2 linked regions of the Coturnix japonica genome follow. The protein of the gene in region 1 purifies or fractionates together with the protein of each later gene. This does not show direct contact. Links are inferred from orthologs where the notes say so. Each region holds a gene or a part of one and is shown on either strand. Other genes may lie near its edges. The genes, in order: SLC34A2 and ENDOD1.

The links.
Region 2: the proteins of SLC34A2 (region 1) and ENDOD1 purify together in Homo sapiens (co-immunoprecipitation; 3 studies listed by BioGRID and IntAct, counting the BioPlex papers as one, with this or other methods). This does not show direct contact. The link is inferred for Coturnix japonica from reciprocal best matches to the Homo sapiens genes SLC34A2 and ENDOD1.

The regions. Positions count from the first base shown.
Region 1 is NC_029519.1:66,480,019-66,484,269, forward strand, and holds the start of SLC34A2 (sodium-dependent phosphate transport protein 2B), read right to left. Parts: upstream 2,872-4,251; 5' UTR 2,807-2,871; intron 1-2,806. UniProt on the Homo sapiens protein: Involved in actively transporting phosphate into cells via Na(+) cotransport.
Region 2 is NC_029516.1:165,883,983-165,886,960, forward strand, and holds the end of ENDOD1 (endonuclease domain-containing 1 protein), read right to left. Parts: coding exon 2,729-2,978; 3' UTR 788-2,728; downstream 1-787. UniProt on the Homo sapiens protein: May act as a DNase and a RNase. Plays a role in the modulation of innate immune signaling through the cGAS-STING pathway by interacting with RNF26.

The sequences.
Region 1 (4,251 bases):
AGTGTTAATTGATCACTGCTCTACAAGGATACAATTTTCCCTTCAAACAACTCTTTCTTGCCCTCAATACAAATGTTAATATCTTGAGAAAAACATGCAGAAGACAATCCAGGTGTTCTGGATGAGCAGAGGGTGACAGGGCTGCCCACATCACTCCCTGCTCCTCGGATTAGTTGACATCAGACACAGCACCATTGTAAACGGTGGCTATGAAAACACTAATAGTGGTTTTCTTTTGAGCACTGATGACAACTGCAAAGGAACATGTTAGAGAATGTGCAGAGGACAGGCCTGTGCCCACACAGGCTGCCAGGAGAAGCTCAGCTAGACCCCGGGCACAGGCTGAGTGTGCTGCTCAGTGCTGTGCTGAAACAGGAGCCCCATTCCCCCGGAAAGTGGCAGGTCACAGCACACTATGCATATTGCAAAGGGCTGAAAACTAACGCCGTGCAGGCTGTAACCCAGCCTGCGCCAGCGAGCCACGCAGCAAAGCCTCTCACACCACGGCACGGCAGGTATAGTCTTTCCTCTCCTTCGGAAAATGCTAACTGCGTGTGACGTCCTTTCTGGCTGCAAGGGAAACTGAAACCTCCCGCTCCTCAGGGGGAGATCAGCACAAACGGAGGGAACAAATGCTGCAAGAAAATGTGAGAGGTATGAAGTCAGAGCCATGTTCTCTCCCTTGCTGCTGCATGACAGAGTTAAAGTCCAGGGAAGGAGAAGAGCGACGCTTGGTGTCACACAACACCCTCACTGCCGTCCCTGGCCACTGCACAGCTGTAACAGTGCTGCTGCTGCTGCTGTAGGGCTCCGTGTCAGCATTATTCTGTCTTAAAGCAGCAACAGCGACAAATCTGTTTCTTTTGATGGACTTAACGCAGAGAATATGAAGTTCCATTTGCACATGCCTGTACAGTATTGTTTGTACCTCTCCACCCGTGACCATCCAGTGAAAGGGCAGGTTGTGCCCGAAATGAGCTGTGAGCCTGAAACATATCTCACCTGACAGGAACAGACCCAATGAAATCAAGGCTTTTCTGGGGAAATAAAAAATTCCCAGGTTGCTTATGAAGCTCCAAATCAAATTTTGGCTTTGGACAGACTCTCTACACTTCTCCTCTCCTCTCACAGCCTTCCCACAAACACATACCACTTTTTGCCATCCAGACCATGCTACAGTTTTTATGCTGAAAAGGCGTTTACCAGATGATCTGAGAGCCAGTGCTATGAGTTAGTCAAGATCATTATTTGCTACACATATTTTAGAGCAGTAAATACATAGCTACACAGTAATCCTTCTTATGTACAGTTGGAAGAAATACAGCTTTTCCTCAAAATGCATTATCTCAGACAGAGGAGCAAATTATATTGAAATGGGGAGGGAAAGACCTTAGCCAGCACAAATTCATTTAGTTTCTTTACATTACTTGACAGTTCTACCCAAGAGCCCATTGCAGCCACAAAGCCCCGAGTGCAGCAGAAGAGAAAACCGGGTAAACAAATGCCGGATAGGATCCAGCCTCAGAGCAAACCCCATCTCTGCACTGGCACCTCCATGGGGCTTTTTGTCTGAATAAGACAGGAAGCTCAGCCACCTTGTGAGCTTTCAACTAATGCAGAAGCAATCAAGGAAAAAAAGAAAGGATGTGTGAAAGCTGGAATAAAAAGTCAGCACTGTACTCACTGCTTATTCCTATACAGCCCTGACTTTTTGTCTCACATCTAACACGTGGCAAAGCTAAATAAAAAAGATAAAACTAAGAAGAAAACTAATGCCTAAACTAGTGCAGAGAGAAAACAAATCCCAGACATTAATTTTAGCACTTACAACCAAGCAAAGCTCCAAACAATGCCACTTAAGAGCCAGAACAGAGAAACTTCAGTGACCTGCTTGAAACACCCAGGAGGTATTTACTGAAATCAAACAATTCCTTTTTCTAGAATAAAGCAACAGCAACAGCAAAATGTTCCCAGCAATAAGGAAACCCAACAAGTTACCCCATCCCAAAGACAAAAACATACAGCAAAGATTGGAGAGAGGAAAGAATAATGACATTAAAAGGACTTACTGATCTAATGGAAGAGCTGCTAATAAAAGTTACTGAGAAACCAGCTGATTTCTGTCTACTGTCACATTAGTTGAACTAACTGCATTAGACTAATGTATTCCTTCTACCCCAGTGTATCAAACTGAATTAGCATAAGAAAATGTTTCCGTGGAGAATAGCCTGGCCCTGGTAGTGCTGCACACAGACTGCGGCTATCTGCACCAGCACATGGACCGACAGTATTCCATTCCAATGTTTCATTAATCATATCCTGGGCATTTTCCAGTATCCAGTACCACCGTGACTTAAAATCTCACCGCTTTTCAATCCAAATAATAGCAAAACCAATAACATCTTTATGTCATAGGCAGTTATTATTTGTGTTTTTGTTTGCTTTGCTTGTGACAGCTGCAAATACACCGGGTCTTTTCCTATGATATTTCATTAAAACAACTGGTTACTTGCAAACAAAAAGTAGCAGAGTTTGGTTTTAGAATTACACTTTGTTATCACTACCTTAAAATATAAATGCAGTGAAGCACACAAGCTGAAAATGCTACCAACCGGGTGACATTTCACACGCCCCTCCTGCTCCCTGCATTAGCTCTCTGCTGCCTTTTCTTGAGCTGTGAAAGCAGAGCTGATGATTTATAAGCTAATTAAGTTTAAAATTTTTTATGAGGGGAAAAAAAGAAGAAGAAAGAAAGAAAACAAAGTAAAAACCACAGCACTCCTTGCTCTTAGTTGGTTTTACTTACCACTTCTTTCTCCCCAGGCAACAGAGTGAACGGACCAACTGGGCAGCCACTGCAACCTGCAATATATATAGACAGGTGTTGAGCAAAGTTTGCTTTCATCATTACGCAGTAACATTTTTACAGTCCGAAGGCAGTGCCTACCTCAGTAATCACGATCAACCCTTTTTCAAAAGGAGTGGGCAGCAACCGAGAGTGATAAAACTACAGGCTATTTCACACTTATCACGTTCTAAAAAATGTCCCATCAGCACTTAAGTAAGAGTTACTAATGTGTTCATGTGAGTGCTATGGGACGGTTTGTTCCAGCCGGAGAAATTGCAGTCTGCCTGATCACTCGGTTAATCTTTTTTCCAATAGTAATTTTCAAACAATATTTTGCAATCTCAGAAGTCTGTCAAAAGGATGCAGAGAAGTGGCAGTACTGTTATTTGTCCGTTCGGGTGCCTATTAATCTGCCTAGGAACAGAAGTGGAGGGGAATCAGATAAAACACGGTGTAAGTAGGAAACACGTAAGAACTTCTTTGAGAACAGAGGATGAAGTTTCCTTCTTATCAGTGCTCCGTGTTTACGATTAAGGGGAGCTCATTAGCATTTTGGCGATGGTTTTCATTCTGAATGAGTTAAAGATGTAAGGACACCTTTGATAACTGCATTCAGAGCGTTATCAAGGAAGATTGCGATAAAGAGATATGTTATCCAATAACTACAGTAAGCTATTACCAAGTAGGCACAAATCAGTATTTTACTGATGATTTTAGCTGGGAACTTGAGGGGCTACTTCAGGCACCGTAGTTTTATTCCCTCTGAATTTTTCCTGTTTCAGCAGGCAAGCTGTATTGAGAAAGTAAGCTGTAAACCAGCCACTGAATCAGCAGATCTGCTTCGTCTGTGCATATGCAGGGCTATCTCCCTGCAGCTCGGTGACTTAGTAACTCTGCAAGAAAAATAGAACTCTTGCTTTTTGCACCTTTCTATCTATCAGACACCCAGCCTTTGGAGCTGGGGGCCAGAACCTGCTCCTCACGTTAGTCTCAGAAATGTGTATGTGTAAGTGGTGGCTGCAAAGCCTCCACAGCCCCATCTGCAGAATCGCAAAGCACCTGCTGGTGTAAAGCCAGCTGCTGCCTTGACCCTGATTACAGCTGATGTTGGAGCCCAAGGAGACCTGACAACAGCCTGAAGGGGAACGAAGTGATAGGAAATGGCCTCAAGGACCATTTTCAGAAGTTCAGTTTTCTTAACAAAACTGTCTTTCAACGCTGTCTATAAAAATAGTTGTTTATGATTGATGACCTCCATCTCAGAAGTAGCTGAAGCTTTTAACTGTGAATCCCTCTAATTCCTGTAAGCTGTGGTTTATTCTCCTCTGAGCCACTGTTTGTGAAACCCAGCTCTGACAGTGAGGTGATGAGATGCTCACCTTTACAGTGCCAGGCTGCCACTC
Region 2 (2,978 bases), on another chromosome or scaffold:
GCTCCAAAGCACATGATGGCAGCCGAGGTGGGACTCAGAGCTGACGTAGGGCTGGGCTCTGTGGGCTGCGTTGCTGAGGTTGCTGTAGTTATGGACGCATGGCTTATTTCTCTGGGCTCAACCCAGAGTGAAGATAACAGAGGTAAAGGTCACCTTAAAGTGCACAGAAACTCCTGCAGTGAAGGGCTGGGTGATCTGGTTGAGGCAAGTTCAAGTCATGTTGCCTTCCCTGTCCCGTGAGTGACTCTGAGCCCACAGTTATCATGATAAAGATGTGGAAGACCAGCCCCTCCCCTTGGTCTGCCTGTGTCTCAGGGCAGCTCTCAAGCACTGAGCTGCAGATCCTAAAGGCACACAGACCTGTCTGGGGGATGTGCTCAGGGAGATGTATCAGCACAGAGCAACCTGAAATAGCCGCTCCCAGCCTTTTCTCCTGTCCTAAGATCATCCACCCTGGGCAGAGGGATCCCAATCCCTGCAGAGCAGGAGCTCATCAGCCCCTATTCCCTTCCCCTCCTGCTTCAGTCCCTTCCCACCACACACCAGCCTCTCTTGGCAAGGGGTTCTTTAGGCACATGCGTAGCTAAACGCATTGCCTGCAACCCCCAGCTCTTACTCACGTATTCTGTACCTTAATGAATTAACTCTTTTAATGTGCTTTGATAATGCAAAGGTGTTTTAAAAGCACAAAAGGATCATTAATATCAGATGTCAAACCATAACAAAGAACAACTGCGCGGCTGCGTTATCTTATCTCCAGTTGAGACAGAAACGTGATATAGCCGTCCCTCTTTGCAAAAGTCACTTTTATTTTGTTAAAGCCATACATTCCCAAGGACAGAGTAAAGCTCACAAGCCATAAATCATGCCCAGATAAGAATGATCTGAAACAATACTCTGCAGCAGGATGTTGCTCGTTCTCTAACAATTACTGGGTGTTTCAGGCAGATTTCCCACTGCCTGCTCAGACATGCAGCAGAGAAGACAAATGACCTGGTGCTGGTCAGGGTTCTTCATGTTGGAATCCGAGCGTGTTCAGACAGCTGTAACAGTGTGGCTCCACATCTGCCTGAATCCTACAGTGCTGCGGTCTCCTGGATGGCAAGAACTGGCTGCTCTGTGACCAGGGCTGCGGCACAGAGATGGGCTGGCCTCAACCTCACTAGGTGATGATGGAGATATGGTGACATCAATTCCACAGTGCACTGGGATATGAGAGCAGTCTGGAGATAAGGCTATGCTTAAGGCACAAGAGAGGCATGTGGGGGGCGGCTGGAGCTGCATTTGGACATCAGTGCCACCACATCCTGGACCCTGGGGCACACACACACTGGTGCCCACCGCTGCACTGACAGCTTCAGTACAAAGGAGGGATTAGTCAAACGTTGCTGATTTTGCATGATTAGACCTTCCCTCTTCTCTTGTCCCCACAACGTCACACCCATGGGAACAAGGGCTGAAGAAAAAGGAGCAGTGAGGACAGGGAGTGCAGGTGAGGGACAGGTGCCCTTCTGACATGAACGCTGCTCATAATGGAGTCACTGGACAGAGATATATGGAGCAGAATGCAAACTGTGCCCCAGGCCTCCCTCACCTCCAGCTGCTCTCCAGGCAAGGTCTATTAGGACATAAAATCAGTGAAAGCAGCAAAATGACCCACAGGGCTCCCTTGCTCTTCCCCTGTCATGAGTTCCCCCTGTCCCTCTTGTACGTACATCAGTGCTGCCACCAACTCAGAGCAGTCCTACAGGAGGATCATTTCAGAATCATAGAATTCACAGAGTGGCCTGAGTTGAAAAGGACCTCAAAGATAATCTGATTTCAACCCCCCTGCTGCTTGAGGTGCACTTGCACAATATGCCTAAGAAGGATGACCAGGACAGTACCAATCCGCAGCCTGGGCACATCCAGCAGAGATCTCTGGCACATCCAGCTGTGTGTTGGATGAACCGCCAGCTCTGAACAGAAGTAGGGCAGGCTACTTGGACTGATACAAGACCTTGGATTGATTCAAGACCAAAAGTATCACCTACATGGCTCTACTGGGCTTTGGAGCCCACCAGCCAGGGCAAGGAATTCGGGGTTGAGATCTTGATTGGTCACCAGGGAATAGTTCAGGGAAAGCGAGCTCGGTGTGGTGAAGGGAAGGAGCTGGCAGCAGGTCTGGAGAGCTGTGAAACACACCCAGCCAAATTCCTTCTCAGGCTCTGCTGGAGAGACTCCAGTGCAGTGAGCAATGCAACCAGCAGCACGACTCGGACCCATTCCCTCCCCAATCCCCGTCTTGCCCCTTACCCTTGCACTCTGCCCAACTTTTCTCTTTCAGAAACTGAAGTCCTTCCCCAGACCACCACCTCTGCACCATGAGGGATGTGCATCTGCAGAGGTCACTGCCCGTGCATAGGTCTCAGTGTTGTCGCAGTAGGAAAGAAACAACCTTGTACCACATTTAGAGAGCATCTTCCAGAGGAAGCAGCTTGATGTCTGCAAATCGCAGGTCTGTGACCTGCACCAATAGAATCCAAACACGTTGAAACGGATAGAGCTTGAGTTGCAATGGTGATGTCCCCTCGTGAAGTTACCTCGGCCCTCCCTGTTACTCCCCATATTATTAATGTCACTTACAATAAATACCAGAACAAAATCAACAGCGTTTGGCCACATATCTTAAAGCATTTCCCCACTCCTCTTTCATTTTCTGTCTTTGCAGCCTTGATTTCCACCCCTATCAGTCACCAGAGGAGCCCTTAGGGATAAACCGCTTGACTATGTGACTAGCCACGTAATAAAAGCCATGCAGGATGGAGGCTGTGGCATCAATGGCCAGCGAGAAGGTGCCACCGATCCCAGCGGCCATGTCTGTGACAACGGAGGGAATGGCACAGATGGAATAGTAAGGGAAAGAAGCGAGGTGAAGGACAAACCCCATGGGGATGCGTAGAATCCTATAGGTGATGACTGCCACATCTTGAATAATT